3 linked regions of the Caenorhabditis elegans genome follow. The protein of the gene in region 3 purifies or fractionates together with the protein of the main gene of each other region. This does not show direct contact. Each region holds a gene or a part of one and is shown on either strand. Other genes may lie near its edges.

The links. Proteins that work in one complex are often made in the same cells at the same time.
Region 1: the proteins of F55B11.3 (region 3) and F58D5.9 fractionate together in Caenorhabditis elegans (co-fractionation; one large-scale study listed by BioGRID). This does not show direct contact.
Region 2: the proteins of F55B11.3 (region 3) and F09G8.7 fractionate together in Caenorhabditis elegans (co-fractionation; one large-scale study listed by BioGRID). This does not show direct contact.

Annotation. Positions count from the first base shown.
Region 1 is NC_003279.8:12,042,988-12,051,052, forward strand, and holds F58D5.9 (Cystatin domain-containing protein), read right to left. Parts: upstream 3,632-8,065; 5' UTR 3,607-3,631; coding exon 3,282-3,606; intron 3,038-3,281; coding exon 2,962-3,037; intron 2,911-2,961; coding exon 2,810-2,910; intron 2,410-2,809; coding exon 2,249-2,409; 3' UTR 2,214-2,248; downstream 1-2,213. Other genes in the region: ksr-2 (Kinase suppressor of Ras B), read right to left, coding at 4,898-5,189, 7,058-7,518.
Region 2 is NC_003281.10:8,265,708-8,272,708, forward strand, and holds F09G8.7 (uncharacterized protein), read right to left. Parts: upstream 2,649-7,001; 5' UTR 2,648-2,648; coding exon 2,546-2,647; intron 2,441-2,545; coding exon 2,240-2,440; 3' UTR 2,214-2,239; downstream 1-2,213. Other genes in the region: mrps-9 (Small ribosomal subunit protein uS9m), read left to right, coding at 355-416, 468-563, 609-692, 740-1,000, 1,047-1,304, 1,465-1,572, 1,617-1,730, 1,782-1,885 and 1 more; crn-7 (Cell-death-related nuclease 7), read left to right, coding at 2,959-3,053, 3,119-3,536, 4,032-4,212, 4,265-4,374, 4,420-4,545, 4,653-4,826; mps-4 (MinK-related peptide, potassium channel accessory subunit protein 4), read right to left, coding at 5,083-5,138, 5,421-5,539, 5,588-5,688; F09G8.10 (uncharacterized protein), read right to left, coding at 5,738-6,090, 6,176-6,288, 6,337-6,461.
Region 3 is NC_003282.8:14,421,251-14,428,601, reverse strand, and holds F55B11.3 (DUF19 domain-containing protein), read right to left. Parts: upstream 3,907-7,351; 5' UTR 3,894-3,906; coding exon 3,747-3,893; intron 3,671-3,746; coding exon 3,449-3,670; intron 3,393-3,448; coding exon 3,066-3,392; 3' UTR 3,033-3,065; downstream 1-3,032. Other genes in the region: F55B11.5 (HORMA domain-containing protein), read right to left, coding at 171-497, 554-775, 845-907; F55B11.2 (DUF19 domain-containing protein), read left to right, coding at 5,322-5,471, 5,609-5,833, 5,962-6,249; F55B11.7 (BTB domain-containing protein), read left to right, coding at 6,659-6,686, 6,734-6,830, 7,212-7,351.

The sequences.
Region 1 (8,065 bases), on a different chromosome or scaffold from region 3:
GCTTCTGGATTCTGGATTTCCCCCTTATTTTTGGATTATTTTAGTGTATTTTTTGGGGGGTTTTTTGGGTTTTCGAACTGAAATTTTGGCTTAAAAAGCCTAAAAAACCCCTAAAAAACTGAGATAATCTAATTTTCCCCTGCAAAACTTATCCATATTCGTCTCTCTCAACAATTTATCACAGTTTTGGCTTCTTTTTTTGAAAATTTTCACTTTTTTTTTTGTTAATTTGCAATATATTTTGTTTGTCTTGCTGCGGGGGATTTTTTCGTTAAAATAGAGAAAAAAAAATCGAAAAAATTCCCCGCGAAATCCCCGTGTGCTACTAGAAATTCTGAACCATTGTAGATATTTCGGTTTTTTTTTCGAAATTTCTTTCCCGGAATTCGATAGTACAAATACAGGTATTCCCCCGTCCCGTTTTCATTTTTTGACCCGAAAAATCTTAGAAATTCGATATTTTAGACCGCCCATCTTTTTTTTCGCGTTTTTTTCCTTTAGTTTTCCCCCCCACCAAAACGTGATGATTTTCCTGTACATATTGGATTTTTCCTCACCTTTTTCTTCCATTTTTTGTCCATTTTCACTTATATGTTTTGTTAATTATTGGTTTTTGCCCCCCACAAAAATGCTCAAAATGGCTCCAAATTTCCCGGAAAAACGGGTTTTCTTTCGGCGAAAATTTTGAATTATTTAGTGAAAAAATAGCCAAAATTCTCAAATTTTGCACGGTTTTTTCAATTTTTTTGCAAATTTTGGTGCATTTTCCGTAAAAATCGACAAAAAATTGCGAAACACATTTTTCCGAGTTTTTTTTTTGCCGATTTCGTGCAAAAAACGTGGGAAAATCTGCAAAAATGCAGAAAACAGGAAAAAATTGATTTTCTGCCACTATTTTGCAATTTTCGGTCGATTTTAGTGCATTTTTAGCCGATTTTGACTGAAAATTTGCAAAATATTGATTGAAAATTAAATTTTATCGATTTTTTCTGATATTTTGGCTTTTTCCCAAGTTTTTTGTCGATTTTGTGCACAAAACGTGAAAAAACCGATGAAAAAAAACTTGCGCGTCAAATACAATGCACTGCGTACACTCGCGGTGTTTGCACCGAGTGCATTCTAATTGACGGGCAAAATCTTTTTTTACACTGAATTTTTACGATTTTCTTGAGTTTTAGCCAAATTTGCTAATTATTCGTACATTTTTGTCCATTTTCAGTCGATTTTCACTGAAAATTACCAAATTTTTCGCCTAAAAACTGTTTTTCCACGGAAATTTGGAGATTTTCACAGTCTCAAAAATCAATAATTATCAAGTGTGTACCCAACTTCAAAAATTGATTTTGGCCGGGTCACACGCCACTTTTTCTCGATTAGTTTTTCAATATTTTCTGGGAAAACTCGCCAAGAAAAATGGGCGGCCTCTAAATCTCTATTATCGATTTTTCTTTTTTCATTTTTTTTCATTTTTCCCCATACTGAAAATCGACCTTTTTAGGTTATTTTCACTCTGTTTTTGTACCATCTTTTCTTCTTTTTCTCTATGTCTCGTTATTTCTGTGTTAGCACCCCCACTCTCTCTCTCTCTCACTCTATCTCTCTCTGTCTCTCTCTGTCTCGCCACGTCATATTTTAATGTTCATATCCCCCCGAGTCTGGTCACACTATCCTACAGTAACCAAGCCTACAGTCTACAGTAATCCTATATATCTATCAATATCTTATAATCTTTTAATATATATAATCCACACAGTTTAGCTGCTACAGTAATCCCGGCTAAATTTGTTCTCTAGTCTATTGGTTTTTTTTGAAAATTTTAAATTTTCCCCCTCACCCACCCACCCATTCATTTAAATCTCTCAGAAGCCTTAATTTTTAAATTTTCGCGCGAGTCGAACCTCGATCTCCCAGGTTTTCGCATTCCTTCCCACTTTTTTTTCCATCTTTTTTCCTGTTTCTTGGCTATTTTTTGGGAAAAGTATCAAATTTCTCTCGCGAAATTTGCGATTTCCCGAAAATTTGCCAACTTTCCACTGAGATTTTGGCGTTTTTTGCGCATTTCCACCTCTACCATCTGTACGGATTGCGATTTTTTTCACTGAAATCGAATAGATCACTATCAAGACAAAATTTCCAGGCTTTCAGGCTCTCATTAGGCTTGTCTGGACTATTTTTCTTGAAAAGAAGAAGAAGTAATAAATACGTTGTGATCTAAAAAAATATTGTGTTTTTTTTCAAAAATTCAGAATTACATAAAAGCATAAAATGAGATTCCAGTGTACATTAATCGAATGGAATTTGAAATTGGAAGAGAAAAAGTTTGAGATTTATCGGCCACTTTGGATTTGTCGGCTTTCCGTTTGGATTGGGGGCGAAGACGGGCGAGAAGGCGGATTCGAGGGCGATATTCTGGAAAATTTGAATTTTTTTCCCGTTTTTTGGGAATTTTTAGCCCAAATCGCTGGAAAATAGGCCAAAATCGATAGAATTTTTTGCAAAAAACTGGCGAAGTTGAATAAAAAAATAATTTTTTTTACAATTTTTAATGAATTTTTCCCATTTTTTCGCAAATTTTCGTCGTTTTTTGAGAATTTTCCGTTTAAATCGGTGGAAAATAAGCTAAATCGACAAAAATTTTCAGAAATATGTGGAAATTGGATTAAAAAACCATTTTCAGCGAATATTACGTAAATTTTGGTCGATTTTGGTGCATTTTTTGCCGATTTTGACTGGAGAAGTCATATTTTATGGTTTTTTTTTTCGTCGATTTTGGCCCATTTTCAGAAGATTTTTTTTTTGGCCAACTCACTGCAGGAGCTCATCATTGTATCCAATTTTTCCGTAATTTCCATCGTTCGAACCTTCTCCAGAATCGCTGAGAGCCTGGCGTAGATATTTGGACTTCTACGGCTGAAAATTATAAAATTTTAGTGAAAAATCATCAAATTCTGTAAGATTTACCCATCAGGGCGCCTCAATCGGCTGATAGTGACACGAAATCCGACGAGTTGAGTTTCCGACGGTGTTACCATGCATACTGGAAGAATTTCAAGTTATTTTTAATCAAAAATCATCTGAAATTAGCTAAAAAATTCAAGAATTTCGAAAAAAATGCAGAAAAAAAGATTTGCGCGTCAATTAAAATGCACTCAGTGCAAACACCGCAAGTGTACGCAGTGCATTGTATTTGACGCGCAAGTTTTATTTCTGGGTTTTAAAGCATTTCTACAGCAAAAAATACAATAAAATCAATTAAAAATCTAGATTTTAGGCCCAAAAACCTTCAAAAGCCAATAATCGTCCTGCCGCAATATATTGCTCCGCGAGCTGACAATTTTCTTCAACGTGTCGCTGAAATCGTGCATCCGGGCATTTCGAATGCTCATAATCCTGTCCAAACTTCATTTTCGGCCAATCCGCCGTGCTCGGCGAGCATCTTTCCATTGCCACGTAGCAAAATGACGTCAGAAAGTCGCAGAAAATGGCGGTATCCCGAAGATTGCCACCAACACGTCGGCGATGCTTCTTGCCGAGAATTACGTGGTGGGGAGGTTTAATGATGACGGCTTTGGCCGTTGTGATGTTAGTTGCTCGAAGAGATTTCATTTTTAGGGTCTTCCTGGGGAATCTGAAAAAAAAATTACCAAGACGTTTTTATCCTGAATTTTGCGATTTTTAAAAAAATTTTACAGAGAAAAATTCAAAAAAAAACCGCGCCGCGCTTGCTTATTCTAAGGCCCAGACGCCAAATTTTGTGATTTTCGCGCCAAAACTACGGTACCAGGTCTCGCCACGCCTTTTTTGAACTGCGAGCAGGTGTGCGCCTTTAAAGATTACTGTAGGAATTTTTTCAATCAAAAACTATGAAAAATCGGTTAAAATTCCACAGCAACCAAAGTTCGAAGTTACAGTAATTTAAAGGCGCACACCTGCCCAAAATGCTTTTTTCACGATTTTTCTCCAAAGTTGTAAATTTTAGAGAAAAAATCGTGTTGAAAACTCAATTTTTATGCAAAAGTCGGTAATTAGGCCATTTGGACTCGGCTACGGCCGGGGTAGATTTACGGAGCGGCGCGTGTCGCGTCGCGGCTAGTTTTTCATTGTAAAACTGAATAAAATGGTTTGTTTAACGGTTTTTAACGAAAATTTACAAAATTAGGTTTAATTTAACCTAATTTTGCAAATTTCAAAGGGAAATATTAAATTTTTCAAGTTTTTGAGAGAAAAATCGTAAAAATGCCCAATTTCAGCCAAAATTCGCGCGAAAATCCTGAAATTCAATCAATTTTCAGCGAATAAAATTACATGAAATATGTAAAAAACTCCTGGATAATCCCCAAAAAATTCCAACTAAAAAGTCGATATTTTCATTTGAAAATTGAAAATTTGTCGAAAAACTATATATAACTATATATCAGGGGAGGAAGGCGGGAACAAAAAAATTTCAAGGCAGCACAGAAATGGTAGAAAAAAAGAAAATATAATTTAATATAAATAAATCATTGGATAAAATTGGAATTAATATAGTAGGAATCCGGTTGTGGTATATAAAACTCGTTTTTTGCTTCTTTTCAGGGGGGAAAAAGGATGGCACAGGAAGGGAAACGGCGGGAAATTAAACTTAAATTAAAAAATTTTTTTGGCGGGATTAATTTGGGAAATTTGGAGGAAAATAGGAAAACGCGGATAAAAATGATGGAAAAATGGGATTTTTTTTCTTTTTCTGATAAAACTATGATATGATTATGAAACAAGATCAATGGCAGGGGCAGGGATGAATATAGGATAAATATTTGTATATATATATAGGTATTTAAATGGATAAAATGTCTAATTTCTTCTTCTTTTCTCTTCTCTCTCTCTCTCTCTGTACATAAAAAATCGATAATTCTACACACTAAAACAGTGGATTCTCGTGTGCCGTGCTGCGTCTCTTCTGCTTATTCGACTCTTTTCTCGGCATTTGAACTGTAATTCGCTTCACAATTTGTTGGAAACTCGGCCGCTTCTCCGGTTGGCTCGACCAGCATTCCAGCAGCAGTTCGTGCAATTTTCCGTCGATTTTTTGCAGCTGGGCGTCGAGCCGTTGAAGTGCCGCTTTTTGGCCGCACATTTTCGCGTAGAGCTTCTGATCCCAAGAGTCACAGCCCGTTGGCATACGGCGGAGCAGGAGTTCGAAGAAAATTGTACTGAAAATTGGGAAAATTTTCAAATTATTGATTTTTAAAACTTTAAATATAAAAAATGATAGTTTTTTGACTAGTTTTGAAAAAAAATTAATTTTTATTAAATTTTTCCCAATATGTCGATTTACGCAGCATTTTTCAGTGTTAATTTCAAAGTTTAAATATTAAAAAAAAAATTTTTTTCGCTTTTTCAAAAATTGTCGATTTTTAACTCAAAATATTCAAAAATTGAGATTTTTTTCACTAGTTTTGTGAAAAAATCTTCATTTTTAATGATTTTTTCCAAATTTTTCTCAATGTGTCGATTTACGCAGCTCTCTCGTGTACTCCTCGTGGAGAAGAGGTAAAGATTCTCCAATTTTTAGCTAAAACTCTCAGTTTTGGACCATTTTCACTGGTTTTTTTGTATTGAACACACAAAATCGTTCATTTTTTGGTGAAAAATACAAAAATAGTCTCAATTTTAGAGTTTTTGACCAGTATCCATAATTTATGAATTTACTGGTCAAAAACTCCAAATTTGAGTGTTTTTTTTCGCATTTTCATCAAAATACATAGAAATAAGCAAAAAATGGACGATTTTGATGTTAATCACAGAAGAAAACTAGCGAAATTGGTGCAAAACCGAGAATTTCACCTAAAAACTGTAGAATCTTCGGCTCTTCTCCACGAGGAGTACACGAGAGAGCTGCGTAAATCGACAGAGAGGCTCCAGCTCTTCCATTTTTTAATTTTCGCTAAAAAGAAGAGCACCGATTAGCAAAATTTCACAAATTTTTACGAAAAAAAAACGGTAGCCCGGGTCTCGCCACGATCGAAAATTCCCAGCTACCGTACCCCCGAGAATTTCGCAGTTTTCCCGATATTTTGAAAAATACGCCAAATATCAGGAAAATTACGAAATTCTCGTAGGTACGGTAGCTGGGAAGTTTCGTTCATGGCGAGACCCTGAATACCGTCTTTTTTAGTAAAAATTTTGAAAAAAAAATGGAATTCTGTCTTTTTCTTGACATTGACTTATTTTTGTCCATAAATTACGAACAACACGCCAAATATCAAGAAAATTACGAAATTCTCGGGGGTACTGTAGCTGGGGAAGTTTCGATCGTGGCGAGACCCCGAGCTACCGTAGTTTTTCGTAAAAATTTGTGAAATTTTGCAAATCGGTCTCCCAAACTCCATTAAATTTGAAAATGGAAGAGCTGTCGATTTACGCAGCTCGCTCGTGTACTCCTCGTGGAGAAGAGCTCTAAAAACGAATTCTTGTGGCGAGACCCAAGGCTACCGGATTTTCTGGCCAAAAATCGCATTTTTTTTCGCAATTCGAAAGCGGTTTTCACTTAAAAATCCGATAAAATACGAAATTTCCTGGTTTTCTTGGTGTGTTTTTCGTAATTTATGAATAAAAATGAGTAAATGTCAAGAAAATGGCAGAATTCAATTTTTTCGAAATTTTTACGACAAAATACCGGGGTCTTGCCACGATCGAAAATTCCCAGCTACCGTACCCCCGAGAATTTCGCAGTTTTCCCGATATTTTGAAAAATACGCCAAATATCCGGAAAACTGCGAAAGTCCCGTGGGAACGGTAGCTGGAAAGTTTCGGTCGTGGCGAGACCCTGAATACCGTACTTTTTAGTAAAAACGTCGACAAAAATTGAATTCTGTCTTTTTCTTGACATTTACTCATTTTTATTCATAAATTACGAAAAACGCCCCAAAAAACCAAGAAATTTCGAAGTTCTCGGAGGGACTGTAGCTGGGGAAGTTTCGATCGTGGCGAGACCTCTGGCCAAAAATCGCAATTTTTCGCATTTCGGAAGCGGTTTTCAATCAAAAAAAATTAAAAATTCGATAAAATCCCCCCGTACCCAAACGAATAAACATCAGATTCTTGTGAAAACGGTAGTTCATGTTGAAACAACACATCACCCCTCCAATCAATCATCAAATTTCCAGCAATTTCCGGCGAAAGATAGTCAATCCAGTGATTTGGGATTAAAAGTGTACAATTTCTGCGGGGATTCTCCAGCCGCTCAAGCTTCATCAACGCAAAATCCGTAACAACGACTCGATTCGGATTGTCCAAAAGAATATTTTTCGTTCGTAAATCTCGATGAAGTATCTTCTTTTTATGCAGATAAGACATTGCCTGACAAATTTGCAACGAAATTTGAAATGTCCACGATTGATCGAAATCTTCGGATAATTGTTCATGAATTCGGTGATAAAGAGTGTTGTGTTGATAGAAATTCGTGACAATTGCGTACGTATTCGTCACTGGATCTGATACGTATCCGTAGAATAGGGCTATATGATCGTGCCGCGAGTTCTGGAAAAAAATCGAATTTTTTTTTGTGGGGTAATTGTGTTTTTAATGCCAAATATATAACAATTTTGCACAGAAAAAAAGTTGAATTTTTCATTTTTTAAATTAAAAATTTTTTTTTCGCAATTTTTGTTGAAAAAATTTTTCGCATTAATTTAGCACAGAAAAACCGTTTAAAAATCGTAATTTTACGAAAAACTTGGATTTTTGGACACGAATTTTTAACAAAAATCCAATTTTTTTAGTAGTGTAAACAAAAATTTGAAATTTTCAGACAAAGGGTCATAGAACATATGCCAAAAATGGTTCATTCTCAAAAAATTTTTTAAAATCAATTTTCGGTAATTGTTATAACTTTTGCATTAACATCTACTCATTTTCGTTAATTCTATAGTTTTTTTTTGGGATTTTTTGAGTATTTTTTTCACAAATTTTTTATAATGTATACTTTATTATGACAAGAGTTCTGGAAAATTTGTTTTTTGGGGAAATCGTGTAAAAATAGCGAAAAATTCAATATTTTAGGCCAAAAATAAGAATCTTACACAGA
Region 2 (7,001 bases), on a different chromosome or scaffold from region 3:
TACATTTTCTAATCATTCCCGTATAGAATGATCTCTATGTTCGTTTACAATGTGTATGAATCCCTCTGAATCATATTTATAATAAAATGTGTTCTATGTGTGCTTTTTATTATAAGATCATTTTTTTAAGGAATTCCTCAATACGAAATAATATGTTTAACACGAATGTAATGTGGCCACTAAAAATTGCAAGAAAAACTGAGTGATGCATTCGCGCTCCATTGACAAACAATTTCTCTTTCACTAAAAATTTTCAAGATGCGAGCTCAATTTTGCATAAATTACTTTATAAATACTAAATTCCGTTATTTTCAAACGTATTTTAATTTATTAATTTATTTATTCCGATTTCAGATGCTCAGAATAGTCTTAGCCCGCTCAAGTAGAGCAATGAGCTCTGCTTCGCCAGCGTCTGCGTAAGTATCATTCGTTTCTCTTATTTCTTTCAATAAATAATCGTGTTTCAGGTCAGATAGCGACACTTCAGTTCGAAAAATTGGTAAAGCACTGGAAACTTATTTGAAACACAGTCAACAACATGTGGCGATGATGGAGAAACACAGGTTTATCGATTTTTGAAGTGAAAATCGTTAATAAAGCATTTTAAGAGCAGAGTTCGAGACAGGACGTCGACATCTTGCCAAAATGATGAGTCTTGACATTCATGAACTCGATCAAGAGGCAATTGACAGGTTTTGTAACAGTGTTTTGTCATATTTATCATAATTGGCATTTTCAGAGCAATCCTATATTTATTTCCTTCTGGATTAACCGACCCAAATGCTCGTCCAGTTATGAGACCACCAGATGAAATTCTTCCAAAATTCCAAAGATTCACATTTGACGAAGAAGGAAAACCAGAAGGATCCCGATTTTTCACATTAAGTCCAAAAATTTACGGGCTTTTGTCGGATATTGGAGTCAAAACGCATTCTGTTATGAAGTTTTATGATGAACATGTTGGAAGTCGATCGGTAAATCGAAGTGATTTGGAACCAGCGTAATTAGTAACCATTTTTTCTACTGAAACATTTATTAATTTTCAGAAATCTGAGCGGTTCTCAATGGGTTACAGCTGACAAATTGAAGAAAAAGCTCTCGGAAAAATTTTCAAAAGAATTGTACGGACAAGTCATCATTGCATTTGAGCATCTTGCTTCATTACCAGGATCAGCTATTGAACAAAAGTTTTTGATGGAATTCAGAGAGCCAATGACCGCTTCAACTGGATCCAAATTGTTCGGTCCTGCGATTCCTGAAGTGCATGTTTGTGCAGTGACCAACAGAAGATATGCAGAAGTGACGTGAGTTGTCCTTCTTTTAAAAGACAGCAGAGAATTTTTGCCAAAAATCTAATGATTTGATAACCTTAAAATTAGTTTTGCCATTAAAAATACTTGTAATTTTTAATTAAACAAATTTTCTCTAATTGTAAACTGAATAATTGAACAGTTTTTTTTTCAGAACACGATGTAAAGATACTCGTGCTACAGTTAAGGTCACAGACGCAGGAAAAGGAAAATTCGATATTGATGGTCTCCAATTGCACGATTTCAGGCATCTTCAAGCCAGGTATATTTTGCGAACATCGAATTTTTCTGATAACATAATTTCAGAGAGATTCTTCTTGCACCAATGATTGTCAGTCAGTCTCTCGGTCGATTTGATGTAACAGCGACAACTTCATGTATTTCTAATACTCTTCCAGAAGCACCAAACAAGGCGCCATTGTGAGACTATTAAAATTTGTTACTCTGCAACAGTATAATCACTTTCTGCAGAATGCGAAGTGGAGGAATGAGTGCTCTACCGCGTGCTGTTCGCCATGGAACTGCACTTTGTGTTGCCGCTTTGCAACCAGAAGCTATCGAACCACTAAGATTATGTAAGGACATTTATTTTGTAAAAAACTTATAAATTCCTAAATTACAGCTGGACTTCTAACACTGGACCCACGGAAAAACGAAAGAAGCAAGGTGAATCAACCGGGTGCTCGTGCTAAATGGATCTGGAAACGTCGTTAATTTATGAATACCCACTTTAATTTTGTTTTTGTTAATTGGTAGGAAGTTTTCAACTAGAATTCTTGTTTTTATTGTTTTTTTAGACTTTTGAAAAATGAAATTTATAAAATAGAAAAGCATACATAACGAGACATCAATTCAAAAATGGGTTTGGTTACTTTTCAGGGAAGGAATGCACTGGGGGGGGGGGGGGGGGAGGTAAAGTGAGTAAGTTTTTAATCAGTATCTACACGTTTCTTGAGGATGCAAAAGTGTCCGCCGATTTGGAACATTTCAATTTGGAAGTCGTCGTATTGAACTTGGATCGTGTGCACTTTTAGATCACGGAGTTCAGTTCCTTGAGTTCGAGTTGCCATTCGCATTGCATTGTAGGCAATTTGACGAGGGTTCTCCGCTTCGAGGAAAGTGCTGTGGGCCTGGAAAATTTTTTAATTAAAATTTCTTACCAAAAAAATGTGTAAATTTATATTTAGAATTGAGCAACAAGTATTTTTTCTAGAAATTATTTTATAAAATCTTACAATTGTATTTCCTTTGCAAATCATGAAAGCGAGGACTCCGGGAATCTGCTGAAGGTTTTCCAATGTGTACTTTGGCTTGGACTTTTTGTTTGATTTGCTCATTCTGGAAAAAAACGTCATTTTTGTATAATTAATCAAGAGCAGATGAGGAAGAATAAAACAGTGCAAAATAAATATGGAGCAAACATGACTCGTGAGCATTTCTGGTCAAAAATACATTAGGCCACGGCCACCACTTTACACTTGAAAAATTTCGGTCAATACATACATCACGGCTGTTTTGGACGAGAAGAGACAGAGATCGTCAAACAGAAAAAAACTGAGAGAAAGAAACGAAGAAAAAATATCGTTTTTTTCAGAAAGTGGGTCGATGATGATGGGAATGAATGAAACAATTCAGTAGGTGGTGAGAGATGCGATTATATTTTGTTCTTATATTTTCTGTGATTTTTACAACTGGAAATGGCAAAATTCAGTGCAAGAATATGCGTGGAAAATCTGTGGACTGGTGAGTATTCTTACTCTTAGGCTTCATGCCTTCAGAAAAATTAATCTGAAACCAAAAAACTTCAGGTTTGTCGTTTATAAACTTCCAAAACTTTCCGGCGCTGGAACATCTGGAAAAGAATTTGTTTATTTCGATGCCGAATCATCAGATTGGACACGTGGAAATGACATAAATGATCCAAATGTTGCTGTGGGAGCAACAGTTTCCCAAGTGTATTCTGCTGATAAATCAAACAATTTTTGGTTCATGTACAGTGATGATGATCCTATAAAGTCAGCTGATTCATATAGAGGACATGCGAAAGGAGTATCACTTTTTGATTCAACTACTGGATTTTGGTTAATTCATAGTGTACCGAATTTTCCACCCATCAAAAGCTTTTCCTATCCGAACACGGCTGAGAAATATGGACAATCATTTTTCTGCGCATCAATGGAAGTTCAACATCTAACAGAGCTCGCAGAGCATTGGAAATATATTCAGGTATGTTTAGAAAAACCTGTTATAAAGTTTTTTAAAGCTACTTTTGAACGAATTTTGACTGCCTGGCTTATAAATCTAAAAGACGCATGAAAAAGTTAACAACAAATTTTTCAACTGATTGTTTATAAAGTTTCCTAGCTTTTCAAACACTAATAAGAAAATAAAATCGACTGATATAATTATATAAAATTCAAAAGATAAACAAAGAAAAAGAACAAGAAAAACCGTTCAAGTAAACGCGCTCCATTGATAATAGAAGCTTATGGTAGTCGGCGTGGCTTAAGATTACAAGCACAGAAATAGTTTTACGAGTATCAAAAAGAGTGAAACTTAACGGATTTGACCGGATTGAGCCAGATGGGTAAATTCTGAAAAAAAAATCAAAAAATAAATAATCGAGTCGCTTAATATAAATTAAATTTTTGGCGAGTAATCGCTTCATTGATAACATTTTAAGCGGAAATTTGAATTTTAGTAACTGTAGCATACTTTCAGGCGACTCCCTACATAATAAATATACCGGAAAAATATGCAACTCGATTCCCTACATTGAAAAATGTTGAAGCTAAACAAAGTCTGCCACGTTCAGCCACTCAATTTTGGATCTCAAAGCCGATTAAAACCGTACAAGGAGTTACATTGATGGCCTACGCCAAACATAAAAAGTTTGATGGAGGTAAATTGGAAAATTATATTTAAAACTGTAATAGGGCTATGAGCTTAAACAGATATTTGGAATGATTTGATATCCCGCCAAAATAAAGTAACACTAGCAGTGGAGAGTTGGTTGAATGGCAGTGGAGACGATATTCATACAACTTGTACGAGTACTAGTCAGGTATGAAATTGATAATTTCAGACGTGAAATAAATCAGAATTTCAGACTCATGACGTCACAGAAATGCGTGTAACCGGGCTGAACTTCGCGAGCTCGAAGGATCATTCGAAATGGGCGGTTTCAAATTCTCAGACCAATCCGATTGTTTGTTTTGGAGATATGAATAGGCAGGTTGGTCACATATCGTTTTTTAAGGATCACAGACTCGCCACGAAAAACATTCAATCATAAACTTGAAGAGTATTCATAAAGTGAAATAGCACACTTTTTGTTTTCAGAAATCACAACTGAAACGTGGCGGTGGAGCATTGTGCATTCAAAATAGAAATCTTTGGCAATTATATCATTCTTTTGTTATTCAAGTTGAACCGTGTAAATCTTCTTCTCATTTTTCCATGTTCCAAACAATTGCCACTCTCCTTTCCGCAGCCGGCCTGGTATCAAAGATTTGAAAAGAAAAATGGCCAAAAAAAGTTGGGCGAAAAATTCCAAACTATTAAGGCCAAGCTTCTTCAAAGTACTCAGTTATCTATATTTCAGAATGTACTCCTCTGAAAATTGAACCTCTTTTTGTTGCTTTAACATAAATTAATTGCGGGTGAATTATAACACTTCTGTTTGACAACAAAACTAACAAATTTTAATTTCTAAAAACTTCATAGTCAGAAAAAAAATTAAAAAATAACTTAAAATAATTATCAAAATCTTCTAGTCTGTTCTCTGCCAAAAATTTGTTCTCGGGTAATAGACACGATGCTTTGGATCTGAAAATTAGTATTTTTTATAAATACCAAGTAATCATGTGTAGTCAGAGTATTCCATAGTTATTTAGCGTCTGAAACATGTGGTAACCTCATTTTTTGGCAGTAGGACGTCTCAGGCCCGTAAATTAACACGGAGTTCGGTAGAGCGTCGCCAACTTTCGCGGTAACGTAATATAGAAAATAAGAAAACAGCGACGTCATAATTCCTAAAAAATGAGGCTGATATGTTTTCCAAAGCCCAGACCAACACTCTATATATAAAATCAAATATATAAAGCTTACCAGGCCGAGAAGAATTCAACAAAACTTCAATCCAAATAAGTAAATATACTAGACAAAGGAACACAAAAGTCATGATGATGACGAGTAGAAAATCAAAGTATTTGGTAGGATAGGAGATGCTGAAATTTGTTTTTTAAATCTTAACAAATAAGAAAAAGAAAAATTACCGATTACATGAGGAGCTCCATTGAAGAAATTCTTCAATTAGGTATTTATAATTGAACGAAGAACTGGCGTAGTTGTTGATATTTTCTTTTGGAAAAGTCATGGTTTTTCAGAAAAGAATATCAAAAAGTAAATTTTATAAAATATTAATTTCAAAATTGTGCACATAACGTGACAATACATAATCCACATTCTCTTTTACAATATGCACATGCTCCTTGTTGCTCTTTTCCTTCTTTATGTATTTTATCCGGAATCGTCACGATTGTTGGCTGAACTGTAATTGGAGCAATTTTCTGAGATGGCAGTTTTGGTTTCTGTGGTTTTGGTGGCGGCGAAGAAGCTGGAAGTTCGGGAGAAGGAAGTGCAAATTTCACTTTCTTTTCAGGTTCCAGATCTTCTTTTGTTGTTTCGGTAGTTGGTTTTCGAACCGGAGATGGTGTTCTTCTATAATTGTCCCCAATTGGACCTCGATCGAAATCAGTTAGAGTTCCTAGTTCAGAGGCTAAAAAGTTAAAAATAAACAAGTTGAAATACAAGACCCATGCTTCTGAGATTGTGGCCGACATATTAAAAGAAATCGATCATACATTTTGGACAACACCAACAAGCATCGGAATTTCTCATCACACAAAATAAATCACCATCTCCATCATCATGAATCTCGAAAACGTGGTTAATCGAGAGTCCATTTGAGAATAACCTGGAAAAGACAGAGTTAATGAACTCATATCATATTAATTCAACTTGCCACTTTATGCACATTTCTTGCATTTCTCCAATTTTCAGCTGATCACCCTTTCTTCCGGGTAACACAATTGCTGTAACTGCTCGGAGCTCTTTTTCATTCATTTGAATAACTCGGCGATGATACATTCTCAAATTAAAATATGAGTTTAAGATCTGATTGAGCTTCAGGAGAGGTTTATTTAATAAAACTCACGATGCAAGACAAAATATTCCAACAGGGTATGTTTTTTTTTTCAGAAAAACCAAAAATTTTAGAAAAAGAAGCACAATGAAAATTTGAATTTTGGCGTCCGGTTATTTTTTTGTTTTTATTTACAATCTCAGTGAGAGTGAGAGAGATTGTAAACACAAAACAAAAAAAACCGGACGTTGCGTGCGTCAGATTTTTCGAACGTCCGGTGTTCCAGCCCTATAGGCTAATTAAAACCTATCAAAAATTCTCAAAAAAAAATTAGTTCAAAACCAAAATTTATTTGTTTTAAAAATGTAAAATCTCTTTTTTAATTACTAGAATAAAATACATACATATATTTAGATTTAGAAATATACATCACATTTCTAAAAAACAATTTTTTTTACTCAACAATTACGAAAAACGTCGAATGGAAATCATAGGCAAAGTTGAAAACATTTTCAGTTTGACCTATAAATCTATAAATCTCCTAC
Region 3 (7,351 bases):
AAAATTGAAAAAATAATTTTAAAACATTTTGAAATTTTTTTGTAATTTTTTACTGTTGTATTCGGTTATTAGAGTCTAATTTCTGTCATTTAAAGCAAAAAAAAATTACCTTCAACTATTAAAAAAAATTGTCATTTCATAAATGCATTTATCACAAACTATATTTAATATCACTGATGTTTCATCTCACTCCACTTGGTTGGATTTGCCCTTTCTACCAAACCTGGAACTGCTTTTTCTGTCGAACTAACTGGGACTTCCTTTTCAGTCAAACTTTCCGTATAAACGTGATCACTAGTTGCACCTGCAACCAAATACAGAACGGCAATTTGACTTTTAGTGCATGATGGAGTGTCCTTCAGATTTTTGGCAATACAGTCCACCATTGGATTGATTTCCTTTACAGAAACCGATTTATCTTTTGGCAAAACTTCGATTTTTTCCTCAAAGACTTTGGTTGGTTTTTCACAGTTTTCAGAGACTTTGGCAATGTCGGCCTGAACATTTAAATATTGCGGTTTCAAGAATTATATAAATACTTAAGTCAACTTACATCTCGGAAGCATATGAACGCGTCTCCATCAATCTTCATTCCCACCGATAGGGAACGTTCTATTAGGGAAATGGTCATTTGTGGTAGTTCACACGTGTATTCGATGTTTTTCAATTTCAAACAGTCCATTACAAATTGAAAACGTGCAAGTTGATGGCTCACCAATTTATAATCAGAGAGAGATTTATATTCCAGGACTGGGAACACGGACCTTATGTACCTCTGAAAATCTCGGATGAGAAATTAAAATTCACACCGCTGCTGGGCTGGTAGATATAAAATACAACTTACATAATGCAGAAGTAGACACATGAAAATTCTATGAGATTCTTCTCCGCATGTCGAATTTTCCATGGAAGCTTCTAATAACACATCGTAATAGTCGGTTGTGGGCTCTGTGTACACAAAAAGCACAGGCGTCGTGGTAGTAGGTACGGTAGTTGTGGTAGTAGGTACGGTAGTCGTGGTAGTAGGTACGGTGGTTGTGGTAGTTGGTACGGTAGTTGTGGTAGTTGATACGGTAGTTGTGGTAGTTGGTACGGTAGTTGTGGTAGTTGGTACGGTAGTTGTGGTAGTTGGTGCGGTAGTTGTGGTAGTTGGTACGGTAGTTGTGGTAGTTGATACGGTAGTTGTGGTAGTTGGTACGGTAGTTGTGGTAGTTGGTACGGTAGTTGTGGTAGTTGATACGGTAGTTGTGGTAGTTGGTACGGTAGTTGTGGTAGTTGGTACGGTAGTTGTGGTAGTTGATACGGTAGTTGTGGTAGTTGGTACGGTAGTTGTGGTAGTTGGTACGGTAGTCGTGGTAGTTGGTACCGATGTTGTGGTAGTTGGTACGGTAGTTGTGGTAGTTGGTACGGTAGTTGTGGTAGTTGGTACGGTAGTTGTGGTAGTTGGTACGGTAGTTGTGGTAGTTGATACGGTAGTTGTGGTAGTTGGTACGGTAGTTGTGGTAGTTGATACGGTAGTTGTGGTAGTTGGTACGGTAGTTGTGGTAGTTGGTACGGTAGTCGTGGTAGTTGGTACCGATGTTGTGGTAGTTGGTACGGTAGTTGTGGTAGTTGGTACGGTAGTTGTGGTAGTTGGTACGGTAGTTGTGGTAGTTGGTACGGTAGTTGTGGTAGTTGATACGGTAGTTGTGGTAGTTGGTACGGTAGTTGTGGTAGTTGGTACGGTAGTTGTGGTAGTTGATACGGTAGTTGTGGTAGTTGGTACGGTAGTTGTGGTAGTTGGTACGGTAGTCGTGGTAGTTGGTACCGATGTTGTGGTTGTCGGTACAGAAGCTGTGGTGGTTGATAGTTCAGAGGGCGTGGTAGTTAATTTTGTTGGAATCGTCGGGCGCGTGGGTTTTAATGACGTCGGTTCATTTCTTCTGACCTTTGCGAGCCCACAGATTTGGTCTATACTTTTCGAATATCCAGCAAAGCAATACTTGTTCTCATCGTTACAGTATCTCTGTAAATGTATTTTATTGTTTCATCCGTGTTTTTTATTAAATGTTTCAAAAACTCACTTCAATATCCGTACAGTAACCTGATGAGGACTTTTCCACAGCTAACTTCAGAGCAATCACACAGCTTCTCGACGATCCCAACTGACAAATCTCATCTGTGGGTGCCAGATATGCGTATTTTGCAAGAAATATTATAGAAAACAGTATTTTCAAAACCATGTTGGAAGGGTCTGAAAATATGGAAACAAGCTGCTTAAAGGCGAGTTTTTGGGATTTGTGTTTAACAAATGGAGGGCGAGTTAAATTAGAGTATTGGTATCTGTATATTTTAGTCATTAAAATAGATTATTCGGTAGAAATGTAATTTTTTTCAAAAAGTATTCCTGTTTCACCAAATGTTAGCGGAAAATCTTTTCGGAGTTTCTTCAGCTTTTTAGGTTCCCTTCTATATTTTCATAAATTTAAATGGTTCCCCCACAAACCTAAATTGTTCTATCTGAGAAAAACTGCTTCAACTGTCACATATTCCAAAATTTCAATTCAAAAAAAAATTCCAAAAACTTCTGCCTTTTGCATTGCATTCCGTGGTTACAAAAAACCCGCTTCCTCTTCAATTCCAAATTATTTTCTAATCCAATTATGTTCAATGTGTCTTCTGTCATATCCTTGACAATTTTTTGAAATTTTTTGAACTTTTTACTGTTGTATTCGGTTATTAGAGTCTAATTTCTGTCATTTAAAGCAAAAAAAAAACCTTCAACTATCATTTACTATATATAAAGCGCTTATTCCGTTTGTCCATAGTTTGTAGTCTATGTAGTCTTTGTAGTCTGTGACGTTTTGGCTTCTGGAGGGATAGTGAGTTGGGCTTAGTGTAGGGATATAGTCAGGGTACTGTAGTGGTACAATAGTGGTACGGTAGGAGTACTGTATGATTACGGTAGCTTCAAAAAAATTAGTTTTCAGCTCCAGAAGTCGGGGGCCGCGCCGGAGGTGCGGACCACGGCTGGTAAAAAAAAATTGTCATTTCATAAATGCATTTATCACAAACTATATTTAATATCACTGATGTTTCATCTCACTCCACTTGGTTGGATTTGCCCTTTCTACCAAACCTGGAACTGCTTTTTCTGTCGAACTAACTGGGACTTCCTTTTCAGTCAAACTTTCCGTATAAACGTGATCACTAGTTGCACCTGCAACCAAATACAGAACCTCAATTTGACTTCTAGTGCATGATGGAGTGTCCTTAAGTTTTTTGGCAATACAGTCCACCATTGGATTGATTTCCTTTACCGAATCCGACTTGTCTTTTGGCAAAACTTCGACTTTTTCCTCAAAGACTCGGGCTGACTTTTCGCAGTGTTCAGAGGCTTTGGCAATGTCGGCCTGAACATTTAAATATTGCGGTTTCAAGAATTATATAAATACTTAAGTCAACTTACATCTCGGAAGCACATGAACGCGTCTCCATCAATCTTCATTCCCACCGATAGGGAACGTTTCATCAGGGAAATGGTGACTTGTGGTAGTTCACACGTGTATTCGGTGGTTTCTAATTTCAAACAGTCCACGACAAATTGAAGATGTGCAAGTTGAAGGCTCACCAATTTATAATCAGAGAGAGATTTATATTCCAGGACTGGGAACACGGACTCTATGTACCTCTGAAAATCTCGGATGGAAACTTATAATTCGCGCGGCCGACATCTGCCGGGCTGGTAGATATAAAGTACAACTTACATAATGCGGAAGTAGACACATGAAAATTTTATGAGATTCTTCTCCGCATGTCGAATTTTCCATGGAAGTTTCCAATAACACATCGTAATAGTCGGCTGTAGCACTTGGAAAACCAAGGAAAAGCACGAGAAGACAATATTTCAGCATTGGGATTTGGTGTGAGGAACACAACTGAATTGATTCCCTTTTTATATTGTTTCATTTTTAAAAACAAACTCTATGAAAAGATCGGAAAAATCAGGGTTGAATTAAAAACATGACAAATCCACTGTAAATCGAGATTCGATATAAATGCAAAATGTATTTTTGGAAAAAAAATCTGATTCAAAATTTAGACGGATACTAGGAAAGAAGTTCAACATTTTTAAGAAAAGTTAAGGCAAATTGAAGAATACTTGAATCTGTGATAATTTTTTGTATGTTTTCAAAATTGAGCATAATTTGTTTCTTTATTTAATTTCTGGCGAATAAAAATTTTGTTTCACAAATATAATCATAAAAAAATTTTCTGACAAGTTTAATGATATAGCTGTGGTATAGCACACATTTTTGAAACTTCTCATACAAGTTTCACATGTGAAATTTTCAAAAAAATTGTTTCAAGCTCCTTCCAATAGTAGCGTAGTTTCCTTTGATTCGATAAACTTAAAAAAATCAAAAAAAAAAATCTCAGAAAAGCAACGATAAAATTCAATTTTTCATCAAATTCTGTTGTTGTTAATGAAAAAACTAAAGTATATAATGTTTTCTATAAAAAAAATGGTCAAATGTTTTGAAATATTTTTCGAAAAATCAAAAAATCGGAAAAATCGACACCCATGACTTCGCTGCATCATGTTAAACGGTTATTAAAATTCTTTAAAAGTTCATTAGATAATTTATTAGTTCAACTGTTCAAATTATGCAAAAAAATAAAATACATTTTAATGAAACCATAGTTGACTTTTTTAAATTCAAATTTTGAGGTTATAAAATAAAAAGATCGTTGAACTTCCAGTTGATTGAATATTTCTTTTCTGCCAAAAGTTAACAGATTTACGGTTTCAAGAATTATACTAGTATTATTAGTACATTAGTATTATTAATTTCATAGTTATTTCATGAATAATATTATACATTTAAAAAAAACACACACACATTAGCCTTACTTACATCTCGGAAGCATTTGAACTCGTCTCCATATACTTTCTTTCCCATTTATTGGCATAAATTGAAATGCACTCGAAACAATGATATTATTTTCGGTGTAAAAATAAAACATTTAAAAAAAAATTATATATTTTTGATAAGTCTTAAAGAAGTTAAATAAGTTCAAGATGTCAGATGAAGAACGGACCAACAATTCTAGACATTTTCCACCCAAATTATTAAAATTTTGAAACAGAAATATTTGTAAAGTTTTTTCTCTCAATGGTACATTGTTATCAATATGATTCAGAGTTTTTGTTTCCTATGATTTCATTCATTTTTAAAAACATTTTCTCCTGAACGTTTCCCTTTATTTTCAGAGTTATGTTTTGAAACGAATCCTCTATAAAATGGGCGCAACAATATCAATATTCCTCACTGAAAACCATGTCGAAAACTGTACTTTTTGTGCTTTTCCTTGCTTTTCCAACTGTAACAGTTGCCGACTTCTTGGACGATTTTTTGAAGCATGCATCAGATAATCCGTCATGCTCCGAAGAATTCAAAAAAATTCTGGCATGCGCTCAGCCACATTTTGTAAGTTTTCCAGGATATTGAAGAATTCCAGAGTAAATGCTGAAATGGTAATTTGACACCAAAGTGTTATATAGCGCCCGACACTACGCGGGTTCCTTAGTTGAACCTGTTTCAGCTCGGAAAAATTGGAATTTCAGGAACTAATCAGAGAAGTCTACCCAAAACTGAATTCTATATCAACACTTTACAACATTGGTTTGATGAATAAAGGACTTCAACTTGTTGAGAATGTGACCATCTGTCTGGGAGAAGAAAAAAGAGACTTCAAGTGCACACTACCAAAGATTGTAGTTACTTCATTGGATTATGCCCAATACATTGGCAAGAAAGTTTATGGAGACGCTTTCCACTGTTTCATAAATGTAAGGAATCTATTTTGAAACAGGTTTACGAAAATCTTTACGAAATTATTTTCAGAATGAAAACAAGTATTCATCAAAATGATGAAACAGAAAACTATTTTTCAGAAAACTATTAGATAAAATTTCAGGTTAACGCAATCGAAACATTCCAAATCTGTGCAGCGGAAAATCAACAGCCCCGGAATATCCACGAAAACGTTTTAAATGATGAAAGTGCCTACAAAAAGATAGCACAACCAATAGTTGAATGTATGGCCAAAAAGATGTACGAGACTCCATCCTGCACCATCGATCGAATTGTCGAGTTGTACCATGCTGGAGAGGCCGGACTTGATTTGTATTACTCATTGTTAAAGTTCGTGAAGGGAGTACAAGTTGAACGGAGCTTCAGTGATAACAACTATTGCCGTGCTTAATAATTGTGTTTAAAAAAGTGCAAAATTCCTTAACGGAATGAAGATTTTTTATCACATAGTTCTGAAACAGTAAATTAATATTTTGAAAATAATTGTCCTAATTCAATTACTCAAAACTTTTTGAGGGCCGTATTTTCGAATCTCGAAATGGAATTCCAATTTCATAGTTCATGACAATTTTTCAGCACATTTTTTTAATAGAATATTTGACTAGGCTCCACCCACAAAATGGAAAGCAAGAAAAACACGTCCTTCTTTTTTCCGTTCATTTTATTAATAAAAAAATGCGTGACAAAATTTCAAAAAAAAAAGGCCACTTCACGTGGAATAATATCACATTACATCTTCCACGTCACCTTTGCTTATTTCTCAATTTATTTATTTTTACCACCATTGATACATTTTGGTAATGAAAGAAAATCTTCGAAAACCGCCGGGTAAGCTCTTTAAATGTTTTTCTCTGATTAAAAATGTTTAATTTCAGAGCATTTTCCACTGGGATCTCATTCCACCATTTTGCACGTACCCAAGAGCTCCACAAATTATTCGTTTCGAATTCGAAATATTCATAATGTGAAGTGGTAAGAGGTTTTGATTTTAAATAAAAAAGGTGAATTTAAGAGAAAATATATTTTTTTTATTAAAATCGATATGAGAGGCAGGAACTGCCTTTGCAAACCTCTTCAAAATTAGAAAGTTTCGTGAAACCGCATTTTTTTTTCTTATTTTTTTGCAAATTTTCTCAATATTTCTAGTTCGAAGGTTTAAAGGCAATTTTGAAACAATAACTGAGTAATAATACAATTGTAAATATTATTTTTTTCAAAAATTTTTCTGTAGAACACTGACTTTGAAAATTTATGTGTTTTTTTTTAATTTTTTTCCCAAAACATTCAGTGAGAATATCAATCATATTGGAAAATTTATAAAGTAATTTTCTTGAAACAGTGGAATTTTTCCAGGAAACTTAACGTGGAAACTTTGAATTCTGTGCCAACCGACAAAATAAATTTAAAATTGTCAAAAGAACTCAACAAAAACACTGATACAAACAAAATTGACTCGATTCAAATAGATTATGGGTTTACCATCAAAAACCACG